Lepisosteus oculatus: one gene and its partner. The protein of the gene in region 1 purifies or fractionates together with the protein of each later gene. This does not show direct contact. Links are inferred from orthologs where the notes say so. Each region holds a gene or a part of one and is shown on either strand. Other genes may lie near its edges.

Evidence for each region. Proteins that work in one complex are often made in the same cells at the same time.
Region 2: the proteins of sin3b (region 1) and arid4b purify together in Homo sapiens (affinity purification with mass spectrometry; 3 studies listed by BioGRID and IntAct, with this or other methods). This does not show direct contact. The link is inferred for Lepisosteus oculatus from reciprocal best matches to the Homo sapiens genes SIN3B and ARID4B.

Annotation. Positions count from the first base shown.
Region 1 is NC_090724.1:101,612-108,764, reverse strand, and holds the start of sin3b (paired amphipathic helix protein Sin3b), read right to left. Parts: upstream 3,009-7,153; 5' UTR 2,732-3,008; coding exon 2,624-2,731; intron 2,586-2,623; exon of another isoform or gene 2,561-2,585; coding exon of another isoform or gene 2,552-2,560; intron 517-2,551; coding exon 410-516; intron 1-409.
Region 2 is NC_090712.1:6,399,085-6,406,641, forward strand, and holds the start of arid4b (AT-rich interactive domain-containing protein 4B), read left to right. Parts: upstream 1-4,546; 5' UTR 4,547-5,012; intron 5,013-5,467; exon of another isoform or gene 5,468-5,970; intron 5,971-6,128; exon of another isoform or gene 6,129-6,203; intron 6,204-7,557. UniProt on the Homo sapiens protein: Acts as a transcriptional repressor. May function in the assembly and/or enzymatic activity of the Sin3A corepressor complex or in mediating interactions between the complex and other regulatory complexes.

The DNA.
Region 1 (7,153 bases):
GTGCTTAAACCACTTTGTCTACTGCTCATTCAAGAACTTCACGTCAAACGTTATGTGAATGCTTTAATATAACTCTTTTAACCAGTCTATGAATCAAACAGGTGACCCATCATGCCACAGATTGCCAGACGATTTTTCTTATAATAGCTTTGAATATTTTTATCTTCCACACAATAAGGGAAAATGTACAAAGTACACAAGCTCAGGTGAACTAACTGGCACTTGCTTTTCCTGAGCATGATGGGTTTTTTTGCCAAATTAAACAGCGGAAATATTCAATTAACTAAGCAGCCAAGTCTACAGTGCCTCCTACCTGGGGCCTGACCAATAAAGAGAATTTTGATCAAATTGATCTAAAGATCATATACTGCTATAGCAATGATGGAATCAAAAAACATTACTTGCTTACCTTTGTGATTTGAATTCTTTCATTATATCCAGAAATTTGTTGTATATCCCAGGATCATTACCAAACCGAATTTTAACTTGGTCCAGATATGATAAGGCATCTTCAACCTAAAATTAGAAAGCAAAATCTCATTTCAACTTTCATTTTTTTCCCCCCAAAAGACCCATTAGGTTAAATTACTTAAACTTTCTGACACCACTTCCAGTTAATGCTGATGACAGTAGTTTTCAAAACAAATATTTAGATTTGTTTTTAAATGAACAATTTAGAAAAACTGTTTTAAAATATGTCATGAGATACAGAAATGTGGAAACTAACACAATAATTATTATACACAAGGTAATAACAATTTAACCATTACCCTTTTAACAATAAGCATAGAAAATGCTGACAGAAGCAGCAAAAAACTAAATATTGTAAACATCCTGCATTCAGGCAATACAGAAATGTTTAAGTTCACATTTAATCATTTGTCAAAATAGTTTATTTTACACTAATCTAATTTTACAAAAAGATAAAAAGATTATTTTAATTATACATTTACAACATGATTTAACCTTATGTCAAATCCTTCAGAAATGTTTTTAAGAACAAAATTAAGTGCTCATCTTCCTATCAGCTCCTACTAAAATCTGAATAGAAACATATCCCCCTGCACACAGTACACCAATGTCATCAGTCCTTGCAATAAAACATAATGATGGAGCGAATCACTTCATAACTCAATTAAAAAATGTTGGAAGTGCAGGAAAATGTTTGTGAAAATAACAGATTTGGTGGCCATGTCCCATTGTTGCAGAAGCTGTAGGCTCACTGGCTGCACAGTTGCTCTTCTCATCATGACTAGCAATTCTGCTTATTGATCCTTCAAGCCTGGCACAGCACTGGGTCAAAAAACACTCTTTTTTTTTTTTTACCAGTCTCCAATACTATGCGATAGGATAGCCACTAGACCATTAGAATTGAGAATGACCTATATTGATGGAATTCACGTGAAACTGCTCAAGTTGATGGCATTTAACACATCACCTTTTTATCTGATCAAAGATATACCTTTTATGGGCAAACTGGAAAATAACATAAGGCGAATAATATGCAATTGTAAAATACAAAGTGAAAAGTTTTTTTTTTTTCCATCTGGGCTAAAACCCTAGCCCACGTTGGCCCTTTTTTGTCAGTGCAAGAGATCCTATAATCCAGACCAGTCAGTTCTCTGAACGTCTGACGATAAATGCAAGAGCAAATGAAAACCATCGGGATCTGATTTGAAATAACAGCATTGCTTCAACACAGGTCATTCTCAATTCTAAATTGTTTTTTAATGCCTAGATATCCCTGAACATCCTTCCTTTAAAATACACGTCAATGCGGTAATTGTCTCTAGAGCGTATTAGTAACCTTTTTCTTTTTATTTAAGAATTAAAAAAGAGAGAGCATGCTATACTGGCTATTACTGTGGGATTATATTTTCTCCATTACAACAAAGATCAGAAAAGAAAATCGCAGTATAAACCTGAAAAAGACTTGAAGAAGATACCTCTTAGCAGAAGTGAGTGTTATTACCCTAATGGTTTGTATCCCAGAGTTATCGAGACAATACAGTAGAACAAAATGTGACAAAAACACAGTTACAGAAAAGCTTGGCAAATTTTTCAACCCGAGCATTTCCTTTACATAATTTTCCTTCCAAAGTTTTAAACTTCAGTGCAATTGATTAAAAAAAAACAATTACAACCAATGTACATAAAGTGATGCACAGTGGCGAAGAAACGTGACCGTTTTGAAGTGTGCTCACAAACCCTCTCCAGGTCGACAGCAAAGCCTAGTGAGCAATCTGCATCAGTTACTATAACCAAATCTGCACTGTGTATAAGATCTCCATTGCATTTCATTTAAACAGAAGCACCTTTTGTCTCGTCAGCCCGTAGGAATGAATATATGGGGGAAAAGACACACAGCTCTGTAGGATCCATTTAACAAAGAAAGTACCGTAAAAAGAATTGTAGAAGAAACGAAAATACAGTTAAAAAAACGGCTCCGTTTGATTTTTGACTAGTTTTTAATAATCCACTACACATCTCACTATTGCTAGTTATATTAGTTATCTTCTGGGAAAGATCTCGCTCAGCTGCGTTTGCTCACCCGAATCATGCATCTCGCAGGCTGACCACATCGCTGAACAAACAGCAAGAAGACATTTTCTGTTTTTCTTACCTTCAGTTTCTGAAAGTGTTGTTGCTGGACTTGTTTCTGCACTACATAGGCCTTGTCCTGGATGTGTTTGATTTGCGGCATGTTGTTATGAGCTCGAATTTTCGCCATTGTCCCCTAATTCCTCAGAAAATATCTTGGCCTGCGAGTGAGGAGAAGGAGGGGGGCGGAGGGTCCCAGCTATTTAAAACGCCATTGTTAGTACACACTGACAGATATACAACTCACGTTTAAAATCGACTGAAACATCGAAGAGTAAGACAACGAATACTCAGAGAATCGCCCCAAAGCTAAAAGGGGATAATAAAAAAATAATTCTGTCTCTTTAAATTCGGCGGCGGGGTGCAGACTTGGCGTCCGGAAACAGAAAAAAAGACCCAGCGCGCCTGCGCAGAGCAAAAGCATTCCCGCGCTCGGCGCTTTCTGCGCATGTGTGAAGTTTTGCCACTTTCCTCTGGAACTTGTCAGCTGAGACGTTGGCGTCATATGTACTGTAAAAAAAATATTACGATCCCCCGCTCCCTGGACGGTATAAGCAAAGAGGAGTAATTGCTTGCATAAATTCCATATTTTTTGTAACCCAATTTTATCCACTTTTAGTTACGTACAGCACACACCTTCACTTATAAACAGCCTTTAAAACATATTGGGACAGCAAAGTCAAAACTCATTTTTGCTTTAAGTTTCAGCAATTTGCTCTTGAGTTGATGAGATTAACATGAATTATAAAGCCAACAATCTAAGTTTATTGTTCTGGTACTTTCACACATGCCTTTTTGTGTACTGTTCTGTTCTGGTTTGTTCTTTGTGTGTTCTGGACTGAGTAACTCTCATCTATATATTACTACTTGGTAAGCTATAAAGATTGCGTCATCTAAATCATCATTTGTATGCCAATGATACTCAGATCTACAGACATAGATGGATGTACTTGGTTATGTGCGAATATGGCTGTTCTCAAAGGTTCTCTGCACTGGTAGTACACTCATATACTACAAGTATTAGTACATGGTACATGGTATGAAATTTGTCTGTGTGGATTATTTTACAGCTTGTGAATGTTCTAATCGCCACTCAGTTCAGTGACATGAGAAACCTAAAGAGGAGATGATACACAGTGGCACTGATACATGGGAGATGTATACATTTAGTATACATTTACACTGACATGCTTACAAAGAGTACATACACACAGATATTGATGGTCTGAGACAGAAATGAAGGTTAATATGCAGAGTTAGATAAATTACAAGCCACTTGAAATTGCAGTGAGTTTTGACATTTTTGTGATATCCTTTGATTTTTGTTATTTCCTGCCACTTCACACTTCACATACTAGATAAGATAAATAGACTGGTTAGACAGACAAGATAAAGGTGTCTAAATAAATATTTCTTCAAATGTGAGTGCCTGACCAGACTGGTTTTATAGTTTGTTGAAACAGTATTTAGAAAAAAAAGGTTTGAAGAAATCAAATATTTTTCAAATGTTAAAAAAGCCTTGGAACACATTTAAAAATGGTAATGTGTGTGACAGTTACCAGTGACTCTTAGTATAACACGGCAGTGCAGTGAACTCAGGTGCAAGGCAGAGCAAGCAACAATCACGCAGGTAGTTATAGGTAAAGTGCAATCCAAGTAATAGTCAGGAATCAGACAGGGTTTGTAGCCAATTGGAAAGCAAAAAGAAAACTAGCACTGAAAGCTGTGATAAAAGTGGCAGAGATCAGGGACCAAGGACAGATAGGAACAGACAGAGGGTGAAGTTGTCTAGTTGGGATTATCTTGGCTCTGTAGCATGATGGCACACTAGATAAACCACCTGTGTCTGTTAAGTCGTTTGGCTCCTTCTGTGTAGGCAAAGTAAAACCATGAAATGTTGAGTTGCCCATCCATCAAGTGTCTCTATTCATCAAGGACAGGCTTAACTGCCAAATTTTCTTGTCGCCAAGGTTATAATTTTGCTCACCCAAAGAAAACTTCCTGGAAAAAAAGGCACATGGGTGGATAGATTTGAGGACAATGATGGCAAGTAGAGTAGGTTTGTCTGAAGTACAGTGGCCACATACCTGGATTGTTAAATTGGGGAATAAAATCAAGCCTTTTGTATCACCTTCCAGGTGTTATGGGACTATACATCTCATACATAACACGTGTAAAGCCATGCTAGAAGTTTGATTAATGAGGGACTGCTGGTAAATTATATGGTGTCAGAATCAAACACCTTTGTTGAGGCCAGAGGACAAAAAGGTTAGAAAAGCTTTGATAAGAATATAGCAAATGTGTCCAATACTGGTCTTTGAGGACCAGTATCTGTTGGTTTAGGTCGCCACAAAATTTGTGTTTATATAAAATAGTATGTACCTAAAGAGCTGGATGAAGCTTTTCAATTAGCAAGTAAGTGAATAAAATGAATAAATTAATGAATAAAATTACTTAAAATAAAATTAGGGGCATCGGCAGAGACAGAATTTATTATTAACACTGACAATATATTCAGCTGCCTTTTCTGCATTGACGCAAGGATGGATATACACTAACACAAAAATGTTGCAGGAATTCACAAGGTAAGTAGTTTGGGTGAAGAGCAACAACCAAAACCTCTTGATCTGATACGCAGAGCTCCTCTTGCACTACTGCAGTTTTACACCACTTCTAATTAATGTACAGACAAACACCATTCCCTTCTCTCCTCACTGGTACTGTCTTTATTTATATCAAGGTGGATTAGAGATTCAAAACCATCAATAAACAAGTCCTGGTTAGAGACTTGGTTTTTTAGCCACATCTCTGTAAAAGCTACAACAGATTCCTTTACCCTTGTTGATAATTGAGTTGCAGTTCATCCAGTTTGTTCCACAATGAGCGTACATTAATCACAATAATTAGTGAACATGTACAGTAGACAATATGTCATTGCATACTCAGTGTGAAGAGGCCAATGATGTGTTATATTACCAAACAGACAAAACTCACTAGCCGAATTTTTGAACAGGGTTAGAAACAGCAAAGATAAAAAGACCCTGACAAAGTACAGGCTCAATGACCACAATCTGGCCATAGAAACTGGGTGACAGGCAGACCTGGCTGCCCAGAGAGGACAGGCTGTGCTTCCACTGCCAGCAGGGAGAAACAGAGGCAGACATGCACATCCTACTGGACTGGGAGAAATATTCTGGGATTAGACAAACATTGTTCCCCAAAATAAATCTCAGAATTCTCACACCTGCCTGAATCAGAACAGCTCCCAATCCTATTTGGAGAGGGATGAGGGAACTCAACTGAGCTCGTAGCACAGTAGGTGATCTCCTGTCACAGCCTGAGGAGCAGTGAGCCTGTTTCCCTGTAATGTTCTAAGTGTTATATGTTGTATGTAAATCTCCTATGATGTACAGTATTTGAATTGCTACTGGCTGTGGTAGATTACAATGGAGGTCTCTCTAAGAATCTTGACACAATGGGTAATAACTAGTGTCAATATTCCAATTTACTAGAGCTTCAAACTAAGGGATTTTTACTTGGTTGTTCTGGGTGTGAGAAACACTGATCAAAAGAATCTTCTGGTTTTAGTTAATTAAATTCTCGATTGTCAATCGACAGTCCAGAAAGACACCAAATAAGATCAGATCAAGACAGTGAAAAGAATAACAGAAAAGAAAAGACCACAAGGGAGAAGACAGGAGGAGAGGACTTAAAGTCTCAGCCATCTGAGCTCCTGTCAAACAGTTCCTTTATTTGAGATAATCTGAAAAGACTCGATTGAAGCTAAGTATTTGAACCTTGCTAAAGAGAGCTTGCTATTCTGTATTAAGGAATTTGGATTTCCTGAGTGAAGAATACCTTGGTTAAAAAAGGCCTTTCATGCTTGGTGGATTTTTTGAATAGGGAGAAAGGCTTTCTAATTTTTTGTAACATCTGTAGATGTTGTATTGACTGTCCTGTATATGCTTTAACAACACTGTAATTTACCTGTTTGAATTTGAAGTAAACTGACTACTGCTCAGATTCGTATTACAGCTAAAAAAAGGAAATGTAAAAAGTGCTCATTAAAATTACAACTGTTTAGGGGTTAAACATAAACTCACGGTAAAGAAACAAATTATAACAGAAATATGTTCTTTAGCAGTTTTATTTGGAATGTGTTGTATTTGCACTGCCTGCTGCTTACATTGCCTCTTTGGAATGAATAAAAGTTTGAATGGAATCAAATCAAGAAAATGAGAGAAAAAAAATTCACAGACATCAGTGTCTTCCTGTTGCACAGAAGCATTTTGGTGTAGTGCTAACACATACCATGCAAAGCTTTCAGAAAGGAAATCATATAGTAAAAGTGTTAAAAGTAAAAAAGGGAGGTACTGTAGTGTACAATGCACTAGCACAACTACATTTAGAATATTGTGTACAATTTTGGTCATGTCATGAAAGTAGTATTGCCGCTCTTAAATTAGTCCAGACAAGAGTAACCAAATGAATTATTGGAGCTTAAACTAAGGATGTATGGTGTGTGGGTTCACATGTTTTCATTTGATTTCAG
Region 2 (7,557 bases), on another chromosome or scaffold:
TCAAATTGCTTGATTAAAAAAACATTTAAATAACACCGCGACACCCAAAACGGTTTAAGCCACCGGTCATTGTAACGTTCTCCGGTCTGTCCCCAATCCAGAAGGAAAAGCCACATCTAAAAAAAAAAACCAAGTAAAGTTACACTCGATTACATCTAGAGCAAGTAAGTGAACCACAAGATGCTGCAGTACAGCCAAGTATGTCACCGGACCCGTTTACCGAAGGCGGTAATAGACTGTCAGACTGCACTGGGAGCAGAGCAGTCACGAGTTAATCTTGATTTACGTTTACTCCTTGATCAAAAACTACAAACAAAAACAAAAACCAGCGACTCCTCTATATGTATGTGAAGCCACAACAGAATATTTAAAGGCCTAAATACCAACGCATAACTTCCCTAAAAAAATACAATAGATGATGAAGCCTTTTAATGACTGCAATCCAAAAGCATAGGAGGCAGATAAAACTGAACTAATGTTTCACATTTAGAAGCTTTTACTGTTACCACTTATCCGTTATCAAACCTGAACTCTCAGAGGGAGGCCTGCAGCAACTGCAAGTTTGATTTGTAGTCATAAAACTGAACAGCACGCAGTTAACGGTGTTAATGGTAGGTATTAACACTAAGCAATTAGTAGCGTTTTTTTAATAGCATGTGTATTTCATATTAAAAAAGCAGTTTTTTTTTTAACAGATTCATCCCTTTTCCAATGGCTTCATCTAATTCAGAGCCACTGGGGAGCCCGAGACTATCCCGTCAAGCAACAGGCGAAAGACGGGATACACCCTGGGTGGGACGTCAGTCCATTGCAGGGCAGACGCAGAAACACACATGCTCACCATGGGCAATTCTGCCAGAAGCCAATTAACCTGCAAGTTAAGTTAATCTGGACTTTTTGGACTGTGGGAGGTATCCAGAGGACCTACACGAACATAGGGAGAACATACAAACTCCACACAGACAGCACCACAGAATTGAACCCAGGGCCCCAGCACTGCAGGGCAACAATGCCAACCACTGCTCCACCGTGTTTAAATACGGTATCACTCTCCCCCAAATCAAAAGAATGTTAATTAAGACACCAAGAAGCCAGACAATGGCACAGACTCCTACCTGACCTTTTTAAACACCAATACTGTAGCCTTGCTTTCGAAACGCAAAAGAAATAAAATGTATGACAAACAGGAAGGCAAAGTCGAATCAGTGCAACAACAGACTCAGATCAGGAAATGAAAGGCAGCACTAGTCTTGTTACCTGTATCAGTGATAGCTGCTTCAGTTACTGCTGCCACTGTGCACAACAGCTTAGCTAACACATGCGGTGTTATTGTAGCACGCGAGGTCAGCACATGATTCGTGTCGCGGCTGCACAGAACAACAACGCACTTGTGCCCATTTTCTCTATTTCTGCCTCTCGGGGGGAATCGTGATCTGTAACATGACAGCTTAGATCAAACCATTCCACTTCCAGCACAGCGCGTCTGCTCGTTTCAAAACTGAGCGATCTGGCAGGGAAAAAAATATTTAAAAAAAACGCTCTTTGTTCAGCGATCACCTGTAACGAAGCTGCAACAAAACCCACTTCTGCAAATTAGCATTTCAAAAATGCCTGCGTGCACTCTGCACATCGGCAACCGTTTAATTAGCAGTTCTGCTGGAGCAGTTTCAGCTACAGAATCAAAGTCGCAAAATCGTCTAATTTCATTCAGAGTACGAACACTACTTTTGTAACATGAGAAAAACAAATATTGGGAGTTCAGTCTGTATGACCGCTCCCAGGTGCGCAAAAGACTGCATTATCCAGTATTCACACATTTAAAACCCTTTGTGAATCTCCTACAGCTCTAAGGAAATCAGGTGCCCTCACTCAGCATGCTGGTTTCTTTCACAAAGAGCATTCACTAGATGGATAACTCTGCAAAAGAAACGAACACTTGCATCACTTGGGAAAACGGTTTCTCTAGCCTGTATGACGTTTTCCCACCCCCGCCCGACTTTGAAACCCAAAAAGGGTCACTCGCAAAGACGCCGATTTATACGGGCAGCAGCAGCAGCCGGCACTGCGCCGACCACACGGAGCAAAGAGACTGCTCAAACTCAGACCCACGAAGCTCCACGGCCAGGAGCTCACCAGCGGAGTGCCAGCGCGAGGGAGCTCAACACGGTGGCGCGCCATTCTTCCACGGCAACCCCCCGAGAGCTGGATAGCACGGATGTAGGTCAGAGCGATGGTTCTAGAATTCTGCAGGTAACTGCAGAAAACAGTCAAGGGATGCAACACGAGACTGAGATGGAGGAGAGAAACAAGTTAATGAGACACACGAGTACCTGAATCTTTGCCCACCCCTACAGAAGTGGGAAAGGACATTTGAAGTCACATCCTTAAGTAAGTGACTCAGAGGCTCATTATACTTACACACGACCCAGCCCGCTGACCCAGTTTCCCCCCACACAGTTTCGTATAACTGGGAATTTTAACCAATTAGACCTTTTGCAATTTCTTTTTCAGGGTATTCAACATTCGAAGCCCCGCTGTGCCTTGCTTCCACAGTAAACGCAGTAGGGCAAAGATTTTTCAGAAACGTAAACAGCAAGTCTAACAACCGGATTCTCTGGCAAGTTTCCTTCTTCTACCAAATTTAAAGGTTCTAGAAGCTTGTATGTTATGTAATTACAAATCCTCCAAGCGCCTCAAACATGGTGGAACAAACTTTCCATTGATGTAGTATTTCATTACAGAATGAGGGACGAATTAAGTTAAGTAAAAGGTGTGCTAGGCGTTAAGATTTGCCCAGACTTACAAAGCATTTAGATAAGACAGGAAAACATTAAACACCGAATTGACAAAGCCGCAACCAGCTTGTCTACCCAACAGCACTTCGATGAAAAAAATTGTAATCCTATAATATTACCTGCATGTGCATCATTTACACAAAACATAAATACAGTTGTACACAGCAAAATGCAGAGACCAAAAATAGCCCAAGGCAGTGGTCCAGTCATGAGTGCCAGTGAGTCTGCAGGTTTTCATGCCACTTAGTTCTTATTGGCCTCTGTCAATTGCTGATGTCTTAAACTAGTCCAATTATCACCTCTCCCAGCTCCTCGACTATTACTTCTTTAGGAGAAAACCTACAGAGACACTGCAGGACCAGAGCAGAATACCGTTGGCCTACACATCTATCTGAAGTTCCAGTTAAAATGTTAATGTAACATTAAATAATTAAGGTTTGATGATCTCTTTTCAAGGCTGTGTAAGCCAGATTGGATACTGCTAAATTTATACCACAAGAGTTCTTTGGAAAAAATAGGAGTATGTAATATCAAAGGAGACAACTTACCTAAACCTTTTCAGTATTGGTTAAACTACTTTATACAGTATACTGTACGACACTGCTCAAACCAACGTAATGAAAGTCTTTTTTATTAAGCGCAGGTAATAAAAGTATGTTCCATGTTTTGCGTTTGCAGTTTTTCTAAAAGCAAGTACACAATACCTCACCCGGGAGATTAATACGGCTGTACACAACTCTAGAATGGGAAGAGTTTATACCCGCATTCCTCGTAAATCGCCTACTGTCATACACCAGAATTACTGTATCCGTCCGCTTAAAAAACCTGGTTATTAAAATAGCCAGACCCAGCTACAACTCAGCAGCATTTCTTGAAATACACAAGAGGGTGATCATTCAGTAACAGGATTTATCCTCACTAAAAAAGACCTACAGATCCTTCACAATTCCATTTTTAGATCTGGGGGGGAGACAGCTTCTAGGGAATTATTCCCCCTGTGCCATAAAAACGCGAAGAGACGTCAGCTTTACTTTTCGTGACTAACACACACGCAAGGTGTCATCATGTGACTCGCTTTGACAGATGACACGAGTGCAACTACATCAGTACTGCAGAGTAATTCCCTTACATCACTGCCTAGATGTAAGGAGAGAGGATTATCCTCTACAGAGCATGCATGCAACTGCTGTAAAAGTGAAAAACAGACCGTGCCTGAAAGGCTGGATTTATGTGCAATAACGTAGCCCCAGAGGCTTTATGATGAATCAAGTAGAAAAAAAAAGAGCACCTTAACGTTAGTTTTTTTTCCCCCAAGGCGCAGGCGGCCTCACCAACTCTCACAACAGGCAGTATTTTTTTTTTGCTGTTGATGTCAAGAGCACATCGACGAAGCTCCACCTACCTGGTTGGTCAGCAATTTGCAATCCGGGTCACTTTTTTTTTCCTCCCCCACGTCCGCTCGCAACCTTCCCTTTTATTAATTTATCACGGCATCCAAATATTTCTTACGCGTCGAAAACCCCACTTAAGAGGGGGAAGATCGTTGAGCCCCTCCTTTGTTACCGCACTTGACTTACAAAACGACCTAAAACACCTTACCCTGCCTCGTAATTTAAGAGCCAAGCCTACTCCTTGCTCATCCGCATTCACAGCAAGCTATATACGCCATCGCTTCTCCACCGAGCAAGCGCATAATGGCCGGGGAGGGGGGGGGGGGACGGATATTTTCTGCACGTTGCAAAGCTTTCTGGGAGTTGTTGTTCGGAGCGCCCGATGATCGTCATCTGAAACACTAGTGTTGTGTACTGCAGATTACTCTTTTGAGAACTACATATCCCAAGCGCTCCCAACTCTTTGTTACCATAGTACCGTTAGAAAATAACGTCATTTTCTTGGCAAGACCGACCAATGGTAGTCGGTAGGGGGCGGACACTAGCAGCAGATAGCCAATCATAAAGCTTGACAGTCATCGAGGGCGTTTCTTAGGGGAGTCCGTCAGTCTGTTTCAGAAGGAGAGGAGCACACAGAAAGAGTCCTACAGAAGGAGCGATTGTGTCGGATACGCATCCCGGGGCTGGTGGGGGGGAAGAAAAAAAAAAAGACTACAAAAATAACCGTCAAGTCCGTTTGCTCTTGCTTTTCGATGAGCTCATGGAGGATTAAATTACTGCACCAGCAAGAAGAGAGGATAAAAAAATCGAAAACTGGACTTCCTCGGTAAGGAATAAACAGATCGCGTGAAGTTTGTTTGCTGCCCATTCTTTTTTTTCCCCTAAAAAAAGATGCAGATCATTTGGGCACTTGCTGATTTTCTTTCCTAACGCCGGGGGGACAGACTAGGGAAATCTTAGACTAGGAAAACTGGAGGTGAGGTGGGGGGTGGAGTGGAAAAGACCAGCGTTGTCCGTAGTGAGCGCTGTCGACCCTGCTGCTTAGCCAGTCCAGAAACAAATCTATCAATTATTTGCATTCGCTCGTCTTATTCTTTCGCCTGTCAGCTTTAGCTGGCTTGAAGGTGTGTGAGTTACACTCGGCTATGGAGGAATGTATCTCCACCACCACCCCCCACCAAAAAAAAACCCCGATCATGCAGAAAGGAGTTTCTTGACGCGAGGCATCGGATCTGATTTTTTTTTGGTGGGGAAGAGGGGGAAAAAAAAGCCGTGTCTTACATAAGTGAGCTCCTCGGATTCTGCAGACAGCGATGAAATTGCCCCGAAACCGACTTCCTTTCCTCCAGAGACGACTTGCTGTCGCCCAGCGATCGAGTCTCCTCTGACTCTGGATGTCTCCATTAGTTGGCTTTTACGGTCGCGTAGGTCGCCTGCCTGTATTCCCGATCTTTTTTCTCTGTGGTTTTTTTTTCCTTGCTCCTGCTGCTGTTGTTGCTGTTGCTGCTGCTGCTCCAGTCTTCCACCCCATCGGTCACGTTTAATTAATATTTTTTTTCCCCTCCCTGCTCCCCTCTTTTATACTACAACCCGCAGCCGTGCTCGCCAGAACAGAAACAAAATCTTATTAAAGCCCGGACTGACGTGGGAGGGGGGGGGGAGGCGAAAGAGAGAAAAATAAACGACCAGGAGTAGAACATATTTTTAAATCGTTGCAATAAAGCAACTAGCGGAGCGGTTGGGAGGTTTGCGGAGGGGGGGTGAGAAATGAGACTAGGCTCAGCGTTGTTTTCGACAGCTGATTTTCAAGCACAGTCCAGCCGTGAGCACTCTCCCCCAGAAACACACACACACACTCTCTCGCCAGCAGTAACGACTGGATTACATTAAGCGGGGTGACATTGTAGTGCCTGGTTTGTCGGATTTAATGGTTGCTGCTCGTCCGCAGTCGGTCCCCGGCTGCTCCTCCGTCTCTCGAAGTCGGTGAAGACGACGGCGGCGGCGGCGGTGAGGGGAGGTCGGTTTAGGTTTTTGAGCCCGTGTCACTTTGTTTAGTTTAGCCTTGTTCATGGTGGGTTTTGTTGTTGTTGTTGTTGTTGTTTCTTTAAAAAACAAAATCCTCGTTTGCCGTTTCACGCCGTGGGAGAGGCGTCGGGGTTGTAGTTTGGGGAGTCAGCGAAAATGTGCAACCGAAACAGCCTCGGACAGAGGAGCCCTCTCTCTCTCCCTCCCTCGTCTGCGTTTGAACGCGGAAATCGCTCGATGGGTTTTTGTCCGCCGCTCTGTGTGTGTACTTCGGTGCGTTTTGGCAGCCTCTTGGGTTGGCAAATCAAAGTTAACGATTTCAGATTTCACGGAGACCCTACAAAAGAAACCAGCCCGTCTGTCCCCTCCCTCCCCCTCCTCCTCTTCCTCCTCCTCCTCCTCCTCCGGTCCCTTTCCTAACCTCACCAGCCCTCCGATCTGATGATGTGTATCACGCTGTGCTGCTCGGAGAGAGTGCCAACAGGGGATTCCTGAAAAAAAAAATCGACTTAAAAAATCCCCCCACACACACGCTTGCTGGCTTTTATCGAGCTGCTACAGCTGTAGTGTTATTTTTTTGTTGTTGTTGTTATTATTATCGTCACCATCATCATCCGCAGGTTGCGCGAGTGAGGTTGTTATTCCGTTGAGAAACTGTCAGTTGGTTGAGACAAAAAGACAGTACACCTCGACTGACGGGGGAGAAATAAGAGAAGGGCGATATGGATTAATTTTATTTCTCGCTGTCTTTCACTTGGCGTTGTTATGACGGATTTTTTTGTGTGTGCGTCTTTCTCTACCGTACTAGTGTCGTGTTGTTGGCGAAATGTGTTTCTGCTGTGATACAGAAATGGCGTCATCCACTTAGCTGCCTGCACTGATACACACACACACAGCAGACATTACTCCCCGTCCTCAACCCGTGTCAAAATAGTTCTTCTTTTTCATTTTATCCCTCCTTTTCTCTCTCTCCTTGCCCTCCTCGATCGCGTCTGTAACCGAGCCGTTTGGAAATGACGCCGAAAACCGAAAGTTAAAAAAAAAAAGCTGCCGTATTCTTTTTGTTTGTCTTGCTCATTCATTTTTATTTCAGGGACAGTGGGAGCCCCGTCTGGTTTCGAAATCGGTTTAAATTGTTTCGCGGACAGGAGTGAAAAATAAAAAAATAATGATCGCGTTGAAATTGAGCGTCAAACGTCACGACCTATTTTTCTGTACAAATGTCCCCCGTTCTCTGTACTTTTAGGAGATTTAATAGTGCTAGTTTAAATGAACATTTCTTATTTTGGCACACGTGAACTTCCGTTCTCGTACAGCTGCTGTGTTTGGTAGGATAGCGTCGTGGA